Linked DNA regions of Arabidopsis thaliana. The protein of the gene in region 3 purifies or fractionates together with the protein of the main gene of each other region. This does not show direct contact. Each region holds a gene or a part of one and is shown on either strand. Other genes may lie near its edges.

Evidence for each region.
Region 1: the proteins of AT1G33120 (region 3) and RPS5A fractionate together in Arabidopsis thaliana (co-fractionation; one large-scale study listed by BioGRID). This does not show direct contact.
Region 2: the proteins of AT1G33120 (region 3) and AT2G32220 fractionate together in Arabidopsis thaliana (co-fractionation; one large-scale study listed by BioGRID). This does not show direct contact.
Region 4: the proteins of AT1G33120 (region 3) and AT3G09200 fractionate together in Arabidopsis thaliana (co-fractionation; one large-scale study listed by BioGRID). This does not show direct contact.

What each region holds. Positions count from the first base shown.
Region 1 is NC_003074.8:3,776,616-3,781,692, forward strand, and holds RPS5A (ribosomal protein 5A), read right to left. Parts: upstream 2,931-5,077; 5' UTR 2,827-2,930; exon of another isoform or gene 2,742-2,826; 5' UTR 2,740-2,741; coding exon 2,647-2,739; intron 2,260-2,646; coding exon 1,988-2,259; intron 1,899-1,987; coding exon 1,695-1,898; intron 1,615-1,694; coding exon 1,560-1,614; 3' UTR 1,209-1,559; downstream 1-1,208. Other genes in the region: AT3G11930 (Adenine nucleotide alpha hydrolases-like superfamily protein), read left to right, coding at 1-44, 298-401, 491-778; HST (homogentisate prenyltransferase), read right to left, coding at 3,426-3,500, 3,593-3,625, 3,769-3,831, 4,007-4,124, 4,281-4,373, 4,592-4,665, 4,777-5,002.
Region 2 is NC_003071.7:13,676,909-13,680,924, reverse strand, and holds AT2G32220 (Ribosomal L27e protein family), read right to left. Parts: upstream 2,016-4,016; 5' UTR 1,981-2,015; coding exon 1,573-1,980; 3' UTR 1,402-1,572; downstream 1-1,401. Other genes in the region: PRORP1 (proteinaceous RNase P 1), read left to right, coding at 1-323, 405-494, 586-767, 867-987, 1,062-1,133, 1,219-1,317; AT2G32210 (cysteine-rich/transmembrane domain A-like protein), read right to left, coding at 2,371-2,416, 2,532-2,670, 2,818-2,848; AT2G32200 (cysteine-rich/transmembrane domain A-like protein), read right to left, coding at 3,886-3,934.
Region 3 is NC_003070.9:12,008,840-12,014,009, reverse strand, and holds AT1G33120 (Ribosomal protein L6 family), read right to left. Parts: upstream 3,132-5,170; 5' UTR 3,025-3,131; coding exon 2,650-3,024; intron 2,485-2,649; coding exon 2,362-2,484; intron 1,874-2,361; coding exon 1,787-1,873; 3' UTR 1,463-1,786; downstream 1-1,462.
Region 4 is NC_003074.8:2,821,615-2,827,228, forward strand, and holds AT3G09200 (Ribosomal protein L10 family protein), read right to left. Parts: upstream 3,628-5,614; 5' UTR 3,407-3,627; coding exon 3,152-3,406; intron 3,056-3,151; coding exon 2,987-3,055; intron 2,571-2,986; coding exon 2,472-2,570; intron 2,380-2,471; coding exon 1,987-2,379; intron 1,897-1,986; coding exon 1,750-1,896; 3' UTR 1,474-1,749; downstream 1-1,473. Other genes in the region: AT3G09190 (Concanavalin A-like lectin family protein), read right to left, coding at 36-1,073; PTAC13 (plastid transcriptionally active 13), read right to left, coding at 3,808-3,891, 4,006-4,357, 4,441-4,619, 4,850-5,236. UniProt on the Arabidopsis thaliana protein: Ribosomal protein P0 is the functional equivalent of E.coli protein L10.

The DNA.
Region 1 (5,077 bases), on a different chromosome or scaffold from region 3:
CAATCACTTTGCTGCCTTTCCGGCTGGACCGGGCGGCGCCACAGGTCTCGTCCATTAACCTCTCTTTTTTCTTTTCTTTTTTAAGTATCGAATTTTAATTGAAATAACATCTTAATATAATCATAGTAGATATTTTCTTCCTTCATACACCCTACTCCCTAGTAGCATCTTTTATATCTAATTTATAGTATTAGTCGGAAAGAATAAGTAGATTTAAAGAATAAAAAAAGTTTTGTTTACTTTATAGGTATAGAAATGTTATTGTGTATGACTTGGTTTTGTGAACGGTTGTAGCAGCAGTGTACGCATCTTCATCAATGATAGAGTCAGTGAAAAAGGCACAACAAGAGACCTCTGCTGCCCTTCTCTCTCGCGCTCTCCAAATGTGCCGAGCCAAGCAGGTCCGATTCTATAACACATGTCCTAAAGACATTACACTAATTATTGGACATGAAACGCGATTAAAACATATTGTGTGATGGATGTGCAGATACGTACTGAAACTCTAGTGCTAGAAGGCGAGGCGAAGGAGATGATTTGTGAGGCGGTGGAGAAAATGCACGTTGATCTTCTCGTTGTGGGTAGTCGTGGCCTTGGCAAGATCAAAAGGTATTGTATCATTAATAACTTCTTCTTATATATAAATTTGAGCGCTTATTATTTTGTTTGCTTTGTGCGTTTCGGAAGAGCGTTTCTTGGGAGCGTTAGCGATTACTGCGCTCATCACGCCAACTGCCCCATCCTTATTGTCAAGCCACCTAAGGAGATGACTAAGTAATATGGAGCTGTTTACATGTTTGGGTTATTAGTACGAATTTTATAATGAGTGTGCCATAATTTACCTAAAAAAGAAAAAAAAGAAAAAAAGAGTGTTGTATGTACGTGTGTTTGACTTGGATAATTAGTGACATTTTAAGCAAATGTGTATTTGGAAAAGTGATGTCAATGAAATATGAATATGGGTCGAATAAAGAAGCGAAGATCTGTAGACTGTTGCTTCTCTGCATCTGTTGTTGTATTCCCGATCATATTGTTGTATGTTTATAATTTATTAAAAGCAAATTGTCTTCCTAATTTTGAATCTTTGTTAATCGAATCCCAACTTTCGAACGAATAAAGGAACTGATTAATTGCGATTGATAACATGGAACACATAAAGAAGTCGTGTCTTAAACTATAAACAAGAGATAAGAAAGACATACTGTATATGACATCAGAAATAAAAGCTTCGTCAATCATTTACCATATTGAGAACAATGCAAATGGTCTAAGACAATTTCAGAAAACGAGCTTGATTACCAGATAATAGAAACTTAGAACTAATAGCGAACTCTTTAAATTTCTAGCTTCAGGTGGCCTAGATAAGTTCAAAAATTGACAATAAACTGATGCGAAACAGCTTAAAGCATCAAAAATTTATCTATTCAAAGTAGTTCAGACGAAATAAACTTCATAAAACAAAAGAGCAAACATCTGAGATACATATTTCAATCTAAATGAAGATAAAACATTAAACTCATTGATACGAGATTGTAACGCACAGGGCAAAGGGAAAATCCTTAACGATTAGCCTTGGCAACTCTTTCAATCTCATCCTTCTTCTTGATGGCATAGCTGCAAGACATAACAGTTCAATCATTAGCTTCACTTTAAGTTATATGAACAATAGTGAAGTCATTTGGAAGTGTATTTACCTGTTGGAAGAGCCCTTGGCTGCGTTGATCAATTCATCAGCAAGGCACTCAGCTATAGTCTTGATGTTTCTGAAAGCAGCTTCACGAGCACCAGTGGTAATCAAGAAGATAGCCTGGTTAACACGTCTTAGAGGAGAGATATCAACAGCTTGTCTCCTAACAACACCAGCAGATCCAATTCTGGTAGCATCTTCACGTGGACCACTGGCTCAAGCAACAAACAAAACATTAATAAGAATAAAATGTTCCTTGTTCCAATGATACTATTTCAGCATACTTCACAAGGTTAGTACCTGTTGACAATGGCGTCAATGATGACCTGAATTGGGTTCAAGTCAGACAAGAGGTGGATAATCTCCATGGCGTGCTTGACGATCCTGACAGCCATCAATTTCTTACCGTTGTTCCTCCCGTGCATCATGAGAGAGTTGGTGAGCCTCTCAACAATGGGGCACTGAGCCTTCCTGAATCTCTTCACAGAGTATCTTCCAGCGGTGTGGGGAACAAAGGTAGCATGTTTAGCTGCCTGAACTCCAATGTAGTCAACAAGACTGATGTCTGTGACCTACAAGATGAAAAAAAACAATTGTCACTAACAACACTAAGAATCTGACATACTAACGCCAAAACGGAGATCCAATCATTCAGGGAGCAAAATGAAAAACAAATCGCAAAACAGTGAAATTTAGCAGAAGCTAAATGTTCCATAAATTAAGCTGTAGAACTATAACAAATAAATCTAACTACCACCAAAACAAGCGTATAAGGTTATGCCAAGCAATGTAAGATATGTATCCCAATGACAAACGCTAAAGTAAAACAATACATCTAAAGAGAAAGCTACCAAATCTTCTACACTAATCTAAGATGGAAAATGATTCTCACAGATGAAACATAAGCTAGAGGATCAAAGCGAGACCAAAATTAAGAGAGTGAAAGCTTAATAATTTACCGTAACGTCGTCATAGGTCCAGCGGTTGAAGAGCTTGACTTCGTTAGTGAGCGCCTGCTGAATCTCAGCGTCAACATCTGCGGCGGTGGCCATGGCTGTGGTGAGAGAAACAGAGCGTGAGCTCAAATACACAAGTACGAAATCAGAGTTATGAGAGAGGATTTGGAGAAAGAAGATCACCTGAAGATCGTTTGCGTCGCGCGAATGAGAGAGACGGCAGAGAAAACGAGAAGCTTTAAGAGGACGAACAAAAACCCTAATGTCACTCCTTTTATATAGATGAGAAATTTAGGGTTTGGGCTCTAATGGAGCTGTCTACATGGGCTTTCATTTCTTTATCCAGTAAAGAACCGGTTTAACAGGTTCCCTGGTTTATACGTGGTTTTAGCCGGTTAACTTACGGAATATTATTTTTATCTTAAGTTACACAAATTACATCATTAATAGTAAAACAAAATTTTATGGTGCAATTTAAGTTTTTATGATGAGTGAAATTCGAATAATATACAAATATTTTACTGTTTAGGTTTCCCTAAACCTACTTTTAGATATGTAAATTAAACATTTTTTTTTTTTTGGTTAGAACCAAGTCAGTGATCATAGAACTCAAAAAGCTGGTGTTTCAATTGGTACAAGCATTTTTATTGCAAGATATAAAAATTCAGAAGGACATATCCTTGATGTATGTACATGAAGGAACCGATTTTGACTCCAAGCTACAAAGAAGAAGAAGAATGATATACAAAGAAAACTGCATATCCTCACCATGAAATTGAAAGCTAGAGGAAGGGGAATAACAGATACTCTGCGTAGAAGAGATTCCATATAAACCGATAATATCCTGAGATAGCTTCCTGCAATAATCAAATGTTTCTACACTCCGTTAGATATACACTCCATTGATGTTCCGTGATAACGAGTTTATGTTTGTACAAAAGTATTTTACCTTGGTGTAGTTTGCTTTTTCTAGTACCCATGTCTACCAAAGATCAACAACAAAGATATTAGAGATTAATGAATTTGGCAGTGTCAAATGCAGAAACTAAAGCATATAGTTATGAAGTTCTTGTGCATTATCTCAAAAGTATGTAAGAGATATAAGAGTATCTCATAATGCTTTACCTGGAAAATTAAGCCTGAAGCCAAGATCACATGTGCAGGAATCATCAAGCTACCTCTAAAAACCTGTTCATTGTTAAAGGATAAGAGGGTTGGTCTTTTCAAAGCTGCATACTGAGGAAAGTAACAATATCGCAACAAAAATAAATTGGTGGCGATAGTTTATCAAGCTTCTACATGCAGTAATGGTGTTCGTGCTTTAATTAACCGAAATAGTTAAGACGGAAATAGATGAATTCACCTGAGGCATGTAGAAAGCTAGTGATATGGCTGAAACATAATTTACTAGCAGAAGTCCAGAACCGAGGAATGCAATGTTTCTCACTCCAAGTTTTGTTGCCAGGGTTGATATTTGGAACCTATTCAAGATCAATCAAAGGCATGATTAACTAAACATGCTTGAACAAACACATAAAGACAATATATCAAACGGAGCTGGTTAAACATTGTCTTTGACTGTCAAATGGATTGAGCCAAAGAGCGGAAAGAAAATGGTTATGCGTGCAGTTACTTACTTTCGATCTCCTTCAACATCAGGAAGGTCCTTTGTAATAGCAATGACCAGTGCAAACAGTGTCACAAAAGATGTGATGAACGCCACAGGTGCACTGCAAATAGCGAATCAAAAGTTGAGTAATATATCTACTCACGATTATGGGGAGCTCCTACAGTTCCTCTCTCATTGTGAGTACAAAGTTTGACTAATTTGCTGAAATCAAACAACAATTGGTCCCTCACATATATTAAAACTCTATCCATACAAGTATGCAAAGTCCATCCTATTATTACGACCTGTTTATTAAGTTTTGTGCATTTGACTACCAACCTCCACTGAAATGGAAGTCCAAGAGCAGCTCTTGTAGCATGGTACACACCAAAGTTAAGAAGGAAACCTCGTACCTGATAAGAAATGTCAATACAGAATTATGTTATTAAAAGTTCCCAAGCCACGAAAAATATCACATAAGGTGATAGTTGTATATTGATTAAGAAGCATAAAACAGCATTTACCGTGGCAATAATAAGAAATGCTGCAACTGGGAATCTTTTCATTCTGAGGGGTGGAACAGAATAGATGGTTCCCAGAAAAAGGCCAAGAGAGTATAGGCTTGTAATGAATGGACCAAAGTTAAATCCGACAACTAAAAGCCCTGCTATCGCAAAAAATATCACTAACAACCAAGCAGACTGCACTGATAGATCTCCTGCTGCTATTGGCAAGTATGGTTTGTTCACTCTGCAAAACAAATAATTCAAATTCAAACCAAAATAACACATCAAGATGCTCCAAAAGCTTGAACTTAAGAAATGA
Region 2 (4,016 bases), on a different chromosome or scaffold from region 3:
AGGTTTCTAAATCGACTTTTGATATGATTGAGGAGTGGTTTAAATCTGAAGTAGCTACAAAAACTGGAGTGAAGAAATGGGATGTGAAGAAAATAAGGGATGCGGTTGTGAGTGGTGGTGGTGGGTGGCATGGACAAGGATGGCTGGGGACTGGCAAATGGAATGTGAAAAGAACAGAGATGGATGAGAATGGTGTATGTAAATGTTGCAAAGAGAAGCTTGTTTGTATTGATATCAATCCGGTTGAGACAGAAACCTTTGCTGCATCGTTGACCCGATTGGCATGTGAAAGAGAAGTCAAGGCTAATTTTAATCAGTTTCAGGTAACAATTATTGTCTAAAAGATTGTATTAAAACTATCTAAAAGAAAACCTGAGAAATGTGTTGTTGTTTTTTGCTTGCAGGAATGGCTGGAAAGACATGGACCGTTTGATGCAGTCATTGATGGAGCCAACATGGGCTTAGTCAACCAGCGCAGTTTCAGCTTCTTCCAGGTGGTTTTGACTCTTTCTCATTCTAATGCCAATCTCAAGAACCATTGTTTGACTACTTTATCTAATGCGACTCTTTATCTCTCCCCACTAGCTTAACAACACTGTCCAAAGATGCCAACAAATAAGCCCGTCGAAAAGGTTACCACTTGTGATCCTGCACAAGAGTCGTGTAAATGGAGGTCCAGCTACATACCCTAAAAACAGAGCCTTGCTAGAGAAATGGAAAAACGCTGGTGCTCTCTATGCTACCCCTCCTGGCTCAAACGATGATTGGTATTTGCATTTGCCTTTTTTTCTGGGTCTATGAATTACATTGACCATGAATAATCCAAAAAAGACAACCATTTCTTATGTGAAATCAAATTGTTCTAGGTATTGGCTTTACGCTGCGGTAAGTTGCAAATGTTTGTTAGTAACAAACGATGAGATGAGAGACCATCTCTTCCAGTTACTTGGAAATAGTTTCTTCCCAAGGTGGAAAGAGAAGCATCAGGTAACATATAATATAAGAGTCTATGTAATGTATATACATAAGCTTTTGATTGATACTGGATTCAATGTTTGCAGGTTCGGATCTCTGTCACTAGAGAAGATGGACTCAAACTTAATATGCCACCTCCATACTCCATTGTTATACAGGTCAACACTCACATTTCTATGTCCATCTCAATGTTTTCGTATGCATTTTGCATTAATGATGATGATTGATTGATGAATGATGCAGGAGTCTGAAGATGGAACCTGGCATGTACCAATGAGCGTAGAAGATGATCTCCAAACATCAAGGCAATGGTTATGCGCAAAAAGATCCAAAACACCTTGAATTTTTTTAATCCTTGTTGTATCATCTGACATTGATTCTTCATTTCTTAATAAATTTGTGTTTCATTAACCACAAGATTGAAAGAAATGTCTCACAATGAAGAGTTACTAGAAAGATTAAAACTTTAACCATCAAAATTGAATATATATTACTGAAATTTAGAACAAAACATAACCTTGAGCTAAACCAGAAGCAAAAACAATTCATGGTAGATAAAAATTGAAACTTTAAAACTAAAATTAAAAACTGTAGAATTCAAAACCTAAGCTTGGTGAAGAACCATCTGTTCTTGCCAGTCTTAAACCTCTCTTCAAACTTCGCCTTCGCTTCCTTAAGAGCCGTCACTTTCTTATCCTTGGACGAGATCGCGTCGGCGGAGACAACGTTCTTCAGATCCAAATCAAGAGTGTAGCGCGTAGGCATCACGTGCTGGTAATTGATGACCTTGAAGAAGCATTTCACGCGCGATTTCTTAGCCGTCTTCTTTGCCGAATCCTTGCGAATGACTTTGCTTGGGTACTTCTTCAATCCGGCGACGAGACAGTGACCGTACTTCTTCTCAACGGTACCGTCATCGAAGGATTTCACGATCACCGCCTTTTTACCGGTGTATCGTCCTTGTAAAAGGATCACGGCTTTTCCTGGCTTCATACATTTCACCATTGTCACTCTCTTCTCTGTCTTTCTCTCGGCGCTTCCTTGGATTCTAGGGCTTTATCGGGAGATATTTATACGCATCGATTTGTTCATTATTTGCATTCTAACCCCAAGAGTTTTAATTGTTTATAACTTTGGCTTATATAGTGTTATTAAATTGATTTTAAGTCCACGTTGACTAACCGGTAATAAAGTCAAAAATGTGAATCTAGCGTGGTTTAGAAGATGTCTAAGAGAAAACAAACGATATATTAAGAATTTATAAAATTACACAATGCAAAAGAAAGAGTGATATAGAAATGAATTAACAAATAGAAGTACCAAATGTCATAAACCTAGTCGAATCATTTTGGTAAAGCAAAATACAAAGATAATCAAAATAAACCATCTAAGTCTTCAGAAGCATGCGTCGAGGACACAACAACAACACATGGCCGCAAGACTGCATTCAAAAAATGAAAGAAAACAAATTAATCAATGCAACACACGATAACCGAACCGGTTTGATAGTTAACCAAACGTGCATGCCTGGTTTATACTAGAAAAAGAAGACTAACCAGCCTTTTAAGAATCCATCACCCTTGGACTTTGTCTCCACCGTTGCCACCGTGGCATGACTTGTGTCGTTCGTTGGGTAACCTAGCGGTGGCGGTGCCACGTAAGGGCCGGTAGACACTGGCGGCGTAGGATAAGCTCCTATAAGTTATTCATATTTCACATTAGTCTTATTACCATTTAAAAAAGTACTTACTACTATGAAACTGCAAATATGATTATAACCATGAGAATATTGACTAAACATATGGTCTGATGCTAAATTAGTACGAAGAAAAGAATACAAACCTGAAGATTGGTTTTGGCTGTATTGACTCATCTTGGAACAGATAGATTGTGATTTCTCTTTGAAAACAAGTTAGAAGAAAGTAGTAACAAATGTAGAGAGGTGTATGATTATGAAATGAATTGAAATATGCAAATGAAGATAGAGATATATATATAGAGAGGTAAGGGAAGTAAACGAAGGTCGGTTTAGTAAAACCGCGTGAGGTCAAAAAAAAAAAACGCGTGAGGTCAGATTGCATTAACTGCTAAGTCTCCAGAAATTTATTCTCTTGAAGAATAACAATGTGTTGATTTTTTCTCTTAATAAATATCAACAAAAAGGTAAGATGCTATCGATTTGGTCTTTTAATTCGTTGTTCTCTATTTACAAAAGTATACGAATTAGAGAACCTTATATATAGAATATGTAAAATGATGATAAATGCAGCATGGTTTTATATTTTTCTTGATTTAGTAATAATAAAGAGTTTTTTTATTCTTTCTCAAAGCAAAAAGTGTACTTCTTTCTCCATGGGAATATTTACATGTTAAGCAAAAGAGAGAACAATAATTAACGCTTATATTAACTAATAAAAACTAACAAAAGTAGATCAGAATATATATGTTATTAGAAGTTATGTTTTACACAAACGGATCTTAGATAATAGTTTGAACCATAATAATTTTACTTGAATCGCTTTATCTCGTCCAAAGTGCGTGTTGTTATTAGAGTAAAACTTTATTTTCGAGAGAGCACATGAAAGTTTTCTTATGAAGAAGAATAATTGCTGGTTTCAAATTAGGTGGGAATATAAACGCAAAATGTGATTTAATTTAGCGTATCTAAATCTAATTCCAGAAATTTAAATGAACAACAATTGACAGTTTTGGGCACAAAGTAGAATAAATTTTACTATTACAAACTAAGTTGTAATAAAATAAAAAAAGTAGTAATAAATAATTAAATCAACAAATAGGAGGTCCAAATGTTATAAGCTAATCGAATCCCAAAAACTACTTGCAAAATACAATGAAAAATATTTGCATGAAGTGTCAAATTTAATAAACAATCGACTGCTTCCTCCGAACTCAGAAAATGCATGCGTCGAGGACGCAACAGGCCAACATGGTCGCAAGACTGCATTTAACAAAAAAAAAAACAATAACTTATCAAACGTGCGGTCCCGGTTACGTTGAGCCACAATAACAAATTGTCCTAA
Region 3 (5,170 bases):
ACATAAATCCGACTATCTGAAAATAAAAAGTATAGAACTACAACGAGAAGTAGGATTGTAGCCTTGTTGGAAACTGATGCATGGGTAATTCAATCAAGCATGCAAAAGGTAAACTAGTCTATAAATGTATAAAACTATATCTATACCGTATATATACACATACCTTATATCGGGTTTATGGATATCCGGTGTGTGTAATGGGCAATCTCTGATCCGGACCGACCCGAACTCTATCCAATGAGGTACATTCCTGAAACTCTTACTCGCCCAAATCGGGTTTTTTCGATATGGGTTTAGTTTGGGTATTGAAAAAAATAGAAATAGACTAATCTAATTGTGTATTTTTGTTGTTGAATTTAATTGTCCTAAATAGTAATGAGAACTTGTATGAGGTTCAAGAGAGCACATAAAGTTATGACATTTGACCATCTTACATTGTTAATGGAATAAAAGAAGAGAAAAAAAAATGTTGATATGTGTTATTTTATGGCAAGGAAATAGAAATTCAGGTATTTTTTTCAAGCAAAATTTCATAATTTGGGTTAGAAATTTTCTCAAAAATAGTAACGACGTCAACGATGTCGTTAACGGCCATAACGAAGACGAAGAGAAATTAGAAAATAAAGAATAGTTTGTGTTTGTTTTAGGATGAAAAAAAAAATTGACTGATTTTATAGGGTTTATGGCTGATTTTATAATCCATTGAGGAAAATCTGAGAATGCAATTAGTTTATGACTATAAACTCAATAACCCTTTGTTTTATGGGCCGTAAACTAGATTAGATTATTTTAGGCAACGAGAAAAGAAAAAAAAAGAATTCTGGCAAATATTAAATAGTTGAAGTTTATTTTTGGAAATTTTCCCAGCTAGAATTATAAAAGTTTATTTGAGTAACAAATGAAAAAGTTTTGTTAAATATTAAATTTGAGTATTTGAAAAAGTATTTGAGTATTAAATTTAAGTTAGAAAAAGTATGAGTATTAATTTGACTAAATATTAATAGGGTGTTATTCGTTTATGATTTCAAAAGAGTTTTAATGATTTAAATTGTCATGTAAAATCTGTTGTTATTCAATCAAGACTTTTTTAAAGTATGTTAAAGTTTTGTGTTATTCGTTTAAGATTTGTAAAAAGTAATCTAAAATCTTCATAAATTTTGGGTTATTAGATACGAACTTTTATTAAATCATTAAAAGTTTTGTGTTATTCAATTAAAACAAAAGAATCTTTGATTTTTAATGATTGTTAATGATTTAAATTATTGTGTTATTGGTTCATGATTTCCTACACTTTTCTTTACAAAATGAAGTCATGGAAAGTCATGGAAAATATTATTAAAATAGAGAGATTGTTTGGAAAACTTTACAAAATTATAAAAAACTAATCAACAAGATTATCAAAAAACTCTCTAACAATCGTTTATAATCTTTCATTTCTTTACTTTCAAAGATTTAACTAAAGTCATCAAAATTTCTTGTAAATTAGGAACCGATAACACCCTCTAAATTTGTGGGCGTTTTCATTCAGGACAATGGATTATAATGTTCTGGAATTCAAAAACACAACCAAATTCTTCAGAATTCAAAATTCATCCGAGAAGATGTAATTTGGCAAAAGTGTGAGAGTGAATGGGTCTCTAATTGTCTCCAAAACTTGTTGCATAAGTTAATAAATTCTCGAACAAAAAAAAGGCAAGGTTTACATCACCGGTGGATTTGGTCCATAAAACAAAACTAACAACATTCCAAACACAAGAAATATGAGCTAAGAGGGGAATATGAGTATTCATTCTTCCTCTACGATCTTGCTTTTCTCGCTAACATAGATACCGTCAAGGAACTTCCTGATATCCTTCTTCTTCACGTGACATTTCTGCACAATAATGCAAACCATAGCAGTTACATAAGACAGTAAAACATAAAGAATCAAGTCAGTTCAACTATGAAATATATGACAACAAAGTTAAATTGTCAACAAAGAATCATTTTTAAACACAATCGCTTATGCTTTCCTTCATACAACAATATGCAAACTCGGCCAAGTTAGCTCAGAATATTCCTAGTTGATATTGTACAAGACTATGAGAAACACATTTTAACCAATAAAATATTGGTTGACCAGAGCGCATTAAATCAGTTATAGATGAATCAGTTCGATTTCACTATGCAAAATGTGATCCCAAACTCAAACATCAACCAAAACAAAAGAAATCTACGTCTCCTATACTACACAACGGCTCTATCTTTTCGACCCAAGATTAATTTCAAGTTGTTGTGGATATAGTAGACTATGAGAGAATTGTGATATCTTCAGATCATTAAAACAAAATTGTGATATCTACTAGTTAAAGAATGGAGTACCTGGTTGATCAGAGCGCACGACCTTGAAACAAGCTCGATATCGTTACCGTCAAGAACAATCTCATCCTTCACCTTCTCAGATCGAACAATGGTTACACCATCCAACATCTCTACCTTCCTCACCTATTATTCCAATAAACACATTTCTATGTAAGTTCAGTGCTCGCAAACTCAGAAATCAATCATCATCGTCCAATCATAAAGTTGAATCTAGTGTCAGTCTATTTCATTCCGAGATCTACACGAATCTATGAGAATCAAATCAGAGATGAAGAAGATAAAACAAACCTTCTTCTCGCCAAGGAAGTTACGGATCTCGATAGACTTTCCGTCACCGCCGATGGAGGCGTTGATGGGAAAATGGGCGTACACGAACCTCATCTTGTAACGGAAACCTCTGGTAACACCGGAGATCAAGTTATCGACGTGGCTAAGAGCGGTTCTGATGGAGGCGCTGGTTTTGCGTGTTCCAAACCACGAATCGATCTTAAGCTTCTTCTTTCCAGTCTCTGGATCCTTGATCAGCTGGAAATCGAGGTTGAGATGCTTGAAATCGCGAACAAGCTTCCCGCGAGGTCCTTCGACTTCGATCACTTTAGCGTGAACCTTGATGGTAACACTGTCGGGGATGTCCATCGTTTCGGAAGAAAGAATCGTCTTCATCTTCTCCGATCTTTGTTTTGCTCTCCCTGACGGCTCTCTGGTTTGATCAAAGAAACCCTAGAGGGAGATTTCTCGACGGCGTTTTAAAAGGTATCAAGAGAAAAAACCCTAAATATCTTTCATATGTGGGCCTTTATCAAAATTCAGCCCACTAAAATCGTGCCCATAAAGAAAACCAAAAATGAGAAAAATACATTATTTACAATAAGCCCATGGCCCGTTAAAAATATTGGGCTGGAATGACGGAAGTGGTGCTCTCTCTCCTTCTCAAGAAAAATGACGGCGTCAGAAGTGGGTCAGAAGTGGGTTTAAAAGTGGGTTTTACTAAGAGACTAATCAGAAGTGGGTTTAAAAGTACACCCATTCCTAGCCCAATAAAACTGAAGCCCAGGAAACACCCAAAATATATTATTGGCAATAACAGGTCATATATATGCCAATTAATATAATCAAGTACCAATAGAATGCATGCTATTCGGCTTTTTCTGGATTCGGGTAATTCGAATTAGAGAGTTTAGTATCCTTTCAGATGGATAAGATTAGATATTTATGTATTCGGGTTGATCGGGTTCAGATCAAATAGAGGAGTTTAGGATTTAATTGAGTAAATATATATAAAAATTGGTTCAGTTTGGTTCGGTCTATCAAGTTTAGGTCGAAAGAAAACACCATTGTCGAAAGAAAGCCGTAGCAAACCACCACTGAATTAGCCACAGATCGAGTCACCGTACCAAACGCAAACAACATATTATTTTCTCTTTGCTCTCTCTTCGATTTGCTCTCTCTCTCACGACGGCTAAAGGCAGAAACCCTAGTTTATGAATCGTCGGAAGCAATTTAAAGGTAGAGACGCAGAAACCCTAAAGCAAATGTGGGCTTATTAAAACTCAAAAGTGAGAAAAGTTTATTATTGTCATTAAGCCCATGGCCCGTTAATAATATTGTGTCAGAATTAGGCCTTTTGAACTTTCTGTAATGATGTAAGTGGCGCCAATTCCATTATTTTTGTTTCTACTTTTCACGTTTATTTTCTCTATTTTTTAGCTTTCAAAACTCTTTGTAATCATTTTCTTTTGTTGAATAAATTTGACATTCCAACAAAAAATTATTTACAAAAAAATTATTTAACTTGTATTAAAAAAAAGGTTTTATGAAAAAAAACCTTAAAATCGTCTATTTTTATAATTTTATCCTATACGTCCTAAAAATACAAAATAATACGCAATATAGTCCATTTTTTAATTTTACATATATTAGAATGTTTTCACGATCTCATACATTAGTTTTTGAGAATTCTGAAGATAAAGTTGAACTCCTTATCTAGAGATCTTTGATTTGGTATATTATTTATCAAAAAATTTAAATTTGACAATAGTGAAAAAAAGATTATATTGCGTATTATTTTGGACTTCATAAGATTATTTTGTATTTTTTGGACTTGAAGGATAAAGTTGTGAATATGAACCACTATGGAGTTTTTCTGTACAAAACTCTCTATCTCTCTCTCTAACTGATCTCATTGATTAAAGCATAAACCTTAGAAAATTATTCACTGGCCGCGTTTTAAAAAGTATAAAGAAGAAAAACAGAAACCCTAAAACAATGTCATGTGGGCTTATCAAAATCAGCCCAACTCGTGCCGAGAAACAAAATTCCTAAAATGAAAAATAAATAGATTATTTGCAACAAGCACATGGCCCGTTAATTGTTTTTTCTATATATTTTCAAACAAAGCCGACGGAGAAATAATTCAAGTTTAGTATCCAAACATTTATATCATTAAATAGTTTTCATAAATCATCAAAAAAAGTTTGTTAATTTATTTCTATTAAAAATATATATATGTTACAATTGCAGTTGTTAAATGAGACAAAAAAAAATTCAGTTCTATTAGTCAACAAATTTGTTTTAAATGTTTTAAAACCAAACTGTCACTATTTAGACTTTAGAGCATCGCTCTATGGTTTCTTACCATGAATATCTCAAATAGTACAAAATAAAATTGGTGTGATTTTCTATACTATTTGAGAAGGTCACCCAAATATTTTAATTTTTGTTATTCTTTTCACATAAATAGTAAATTTTTTATTTTTATTTTTATTTTTTTGGTTATAAACCCCAAAATAATTTTGTGTTTGATGAATCA
Region 4 (5,614 bases), on a different chromosome or scaffold from region 3:
TCTTAAACCAAAGCCAAAGCCAAACAAACTTCTCATTACTTCTTGCCATCTTTAACTGCAACGACCACAATGCTCACTGCACATTCCTCTGGAACCACGGCCATTGACCGCCTAACACTGCAAATAGTCCAAAGATACATAGCTGACATTGCCCCTACGGCTCCACATACTGCAGCCAAGACCAGAGCACCAAGCATTCTCCATATACACTCACTATTTTCTCGGCCCTCTTCCATTTCCGTGGAAACGTCCGGCTTCAAACCTTCATTTGGTCCTAATGGCGCTGGTTGCACCCATATCGGATCAAGATGCCATATTTCAAAGCTCCATGAATGGAGAAAATGTGGCTTGGAAGAGTTCCCATTAGCAGAGCTTAAACCCACCATGACTTCACCACCTTTCCAAAGCTTCTCCAAGTCTACCGAGAAAGAGAAGAACGGATCAAACATCTTTATCGAACCACGTTTTCTGAAACGAACCCTCATTCTCTTAGAACTTGCCTCATAATCAATCATACAGCTCAAAATCCCTCCATCATCCATCATCAAGTCACCCACAAACGAAAGGTTTCTAATTTTGGCAGACTCAGGTCTACCAATTAAGACTCTTGCACGGTTTCCTCTCTTGGAGATATCAAACTCAAAAGCAACAACTGTCTCGTTCTTTGCATACTCTAATAGAAACCCTAAAGCAGAGGAACTGTAATCTTTCTTACCAAACAGACTAAGATCCAAAGTACTTGGAACCATTACAAAAGCCAAGACATCACCAATCTCATTGGGCATCGAAAACGAGAAGTAAGTCGAGAAAATAACGGAGTTCCTCTCTTTACCTTGGAATAGATTGATGGGTTTCTTGTAAAAGACTCGTCCCTCGGTCCGATTCACTGAGTCAGTCAGCTGAATCGAAGAACTGTCATTGACCAGCTTCGAATCTCCAAACAGAGCAACACTCTTGTCAAAACTCTGAGATTTTACGAATTCATCAAATGAAAACGTGAAATCCACACCTGCGGTTCCATGTATCTCAAAGCATAAAAGGACCAGAAAAGATAGGGTTTTGAATATCGCCATAGCTATACTGAGACTAAAATTGGTTCTCTCTGATTTAATGACTACAGAGACGAGCTCTTCTCTCTCTCTTACTCACTCACTCACTCTTCTCCTTCTAAAAATGGAATTTCTAGGATTTGAGAATGACTTCCATTTTTTCAAGAAGTATTTAAGTTTGTTGTTTTGTGTGGAACTATGCGAAGAAAGCAGAGGAAGAAGTTAAATATCATCAACACATGCAGAGAGATTGATTCGTTCTCAGTCCCACTCACTTTCTCCCTCGTAGTGGTTGCTGACTAAGGTTAATGCCGTTTCTGATTTGTATCTCAGTTTTATTACATTCTATCATGTTTAGCCTCATTTACTTTTAGAATATGACATTTGTGCCTACTTTCTAAGAAATAAAATGACTCAACTTGTAGATCTAAGAAGATTCTGCTTCATACAAATTTTATCAAAGTCATGTATAAGAAGCTCTTAACTTTCTCGACGGATAGATAAATTGCAAATTCATCGTCCAGACATTATTGAAAAATATTAAAGCAACCATAAGAAAACGAAATCTTTCCAAAAAATAAAAGACAGTAGTAACATAAAACTGGATTGGCTAAAACCAAGAAAATTGAGGTCCAACATACTAAAAACAAAGCAACACTTATAATCCACGACAAAAAGGTAAGATCTTAACCGACAAAATCTACTCTTCATCGAACAAACCGAAATCACCTCCATAGTCTTCTTCGTCGGACTCTTCCTTCTCCTCTACCTTAGCAGCAGCTGGGGCACCACCACCTGCATCAGCAGACACCGCAGCTACTGAAGCAACAGCAAACTTGCTTGGATCCTGCATTCCAGAGAGTTAACATAAACAAAATCAGTACTCCAAACTTCCGAAATAAAATGAAAAAGATGCACAGTTTTAATGCATACTAACCTTCAAGTATTCCTTGACCTTCTCTGCTTGAGGGAAGGTGTACTCAGTGGCAACAGCAATAGCCAAGGCATTCTTGTACGCATTGATGAACATATGCGGTGCAGCAGCAAGGGTAGGGTACGACACAGCAAGAGCCAAGGAAGTGACCATGGAGATACCAGAAGCAAACTTCTCCACAAGTTGGTCTTCAGTAAGATCAAGAACCTCTGGGCTGAAGACTGAGCCATTGTCATAGACAGACTGGACAACAAGACCATATGAGAACGGCCTGATGCCAAGCTTGGCTAGAAGCGCAGCCTCAGAAGACCCGACCTTGTCACCTTGCTTGATAAGCTCAACTGGGGTGATGATTTCGACGGTACCCTTGTTAATCTTGGTTGGGATGTTAAGCACCTAAAACAATCCAAAACACATACATGTTCAATTAACTTCAAATTGTCGTCAAACGAATCAAATCAAACATTAAATGTAAGTTTAAAACAAACCTGGAAGAAAGATGTTTGGGATGGGTCGAGACCAGTGTTGCCAGGTTGGACAACCACATCAATTGGAGCCACCAAACCCACACGAGCAGGGGCACCAACCTGATTCATAATAAGAAAAGTTCCATTACAATCGAATCACATTGAAAAAGTATCAACATTTTAACCCAATCATATTGCAAAAGCATCAACATATTACACAATCCAATCACGTTGAGAAAGCAACAACATTATACATAAGTCAATCGCATTGAGAAAGCATCAACTTTTTACACAATTGATGAGCTCTACTTGGGATGACTGTAATACTCATAGGAACACAGGCAATATAAACAGAAACGTAAGCAAGAAATGATTACACTATACATCAGATACCATCGAAAGCAACACAAGTAAATTCAGAACATGTATAAACTAATGTAAGCATGAAATGATTCCTCTATGCATCAGATACTTACTATCCGAAGCTATAATCACACATTTGTAAATAAGATATGAAACAAGAGCAATTAACAAACCTTGTACTTAGCAACCTCCTCGCTCACTTCCTTGAGGTCACCTTTGGTAAAGATCAAACCAACGTTTCCCTACAAAAAACGAACACAGAACCATCGCAAATTATTTTCTAAACACAAACACATCGATAAAATCTCAATCATTTTGGACAAGCTAAGAAAGTTTACCTGAAGGAGAGGAAGCAGATTCAGGATTGCAGTGTTTCCGGTGTTCTCAGAGTGAATCCTAACGGAACGCTTCATCATAGTGTTCTTCCCCATAAGCACGACGGAGTCTCCACGAAGACCCTTTCTGATGTTCTGAAGCTGAGTTGATCCGACGTTATCGGCCGCAACGACCAAGATCTGGGTGTACTCATCGATAAGCTGACATAGCTTGGTATCGTAGGCGATCTTCTTCTCTGCCTTAGTTGCTTTCACCATTTTCGCTCACAGGATAAGTTACGAGACACAAACTCAATTTAACTCTGTGTATAGAGAGAGTTTGACGTAAAGAAATTAGGGTTTTGGTATCAGCCGTTTTATAGTTCACGATTTGGCCTGAGGATAAGGGAACCTCTAGGGTTTTCTTTGTGAATCTTAATCTAACGGTTCGTGCCTGTTTGCTTCATTCTGATCTGACGGCTCTTGTTTGTTGGGCCTTTTCACAAATTAGGCCCATTTAACCAGTAAAGGCTCTCATCTTTCAAATGAAGATAGAACGTCGTCGTTGCAATCGTTTGGCGAATTTAACAGAACAAACACACCAAAACTTCCAAAACATGTGAAGTGATCATGGATTTATATTTCAAACCAAAAAATTCACATTCTAGTGAACAAACTATTTAAGATTGAATCTCAGGAACAAGTTCATTGATGTCAATTTCCACTAGTGTCTCCTTCCCAAACAAAGTAAATCCCACCGTTGCCTGCAACCAACCATACGAAAGAATCAGAGAGACATCTAAACAAACACATTTGTGCAAATTGACCAGCTTTGTTATCAATAACACAAAGGAGCTAGAAGTAGTTAGTTAGTGTACCTTTGCAGTTTTGCGGTTTAGTTTCTTTAGGTTCCCAACAAATTCAGCAAATGTCCCTGATAAAACTCTAACTGTAGAACCCGCTGCAAGTTTCTTCTTCTTCGCCTTTGTTTCAGTAGCAAGTGTAGCTTTTCTCGGGGCTCGTTTCGGTTTAGATTCTGCTACAGTCTCAATAACATCTGAATTAGATAATGCGAGAAGTTCCTGTGACGCTAGTATACTCGCTTCTTCTTCAGCTCTATCTGCCTCTTCGAACTCACTATCTGCTTTCTCTTGCGCTTCTTTTGCTTGTTTGAAAATAGCTTCCAAGTCACTGTCATCTACTGGTCTTGGTTTATTAATCTGTCTCTTGCTACAAAAAAAAAATGCAGATACAAATTAATTCACAGACCTTAACACACATAGGGTGAGAGTGAGAGTGAGAATACTACTCACGTATTTCCAACTTTTGAACCTATGAAACCTCCGACTCCATCAACGTCTCTTATGGAGTCATGTATCTCTTTGTTCAATATACATCTGATGAAAATGCAACCAGGGAACACTGGTTTCGGTTTAACAGATATAGAACCGTTCTTTAGCTTTCTCTTCACTTGAACAGATGGTGCATAAACCTGGACAACCAAATTCAAAAGCCACTTGTTTCAATACCAATGTATGAATTCCCCACAAATTCTAAAGATCACACAATAACCCAAAATCAAATCTTTTCACTTTCCATCAACAACTGTTTAGAGTTTGTCAGCAATTCTATCAAGATACCAGTTTGATCCAATCTCATTGTCAAAATCCAAACTTTAAAATCACCCAACACAACCCAAATATCCAGTAAAATTCCAATTACCGTGAATTCCATTTCAGGGAATTGACGAGCCAGAGCTCGAGCTAAGATTTGAGCAGTCTCATGACCACGAAGTCTCGAAACCCTAACCGCCCACCATTGCGGACCCGACTCAGCCAAAGTATCCAAATTCAGCTCCTCCGTCCACGTTGCATACCGTTTTTTTGGTTTCTTAATCAACTTTTCTTCAACTTCTTCTCGCCAGCTATACCCCAATTTACTCTCCCGCCGCTCGTTCCGGAGCTGCCGTCTCTCCTTCGCCGTAAGCTGGTGGTTCCGCTCGATGACACAGGCGGCGATAGAGAATTGGGTTTTGTTGATTGGCGTATAAATCGACGGGATTAAGCTGCTACGACTCCACTGGAGAAGTCCCCCTTGCAGCTTCATCATTCTCTGTTTTTCTTTTGGGAAAATTCCGTTGATAAAATTCTCTGTTTGTTTTGGATAATGTTTTGGAATTTGTTTAACCGGGAACCCGGTTTATCCCAAATGCCGGTATGAAACTAAATCAGATTAAAATTACCGGATTGAAGTAGTAATTAAACTGCAAATCACAAAATTGGAGTACTTTACAAAGATATGGGGCACTAACTTTGTATTTTAAAATTTTGAATAAATATTTTTCGGGTAATGTCTAGATTACAAATGTTTTTAGCTTATGCAAATTATCAAAAACTGTTTTTTTCTTGTTCTATAAAAATGTTTTTAATTAGTAGAACTTTTATTTTGGTTCAAGTGACGTTCTTTTCAAAAATATCAAATTAAAAC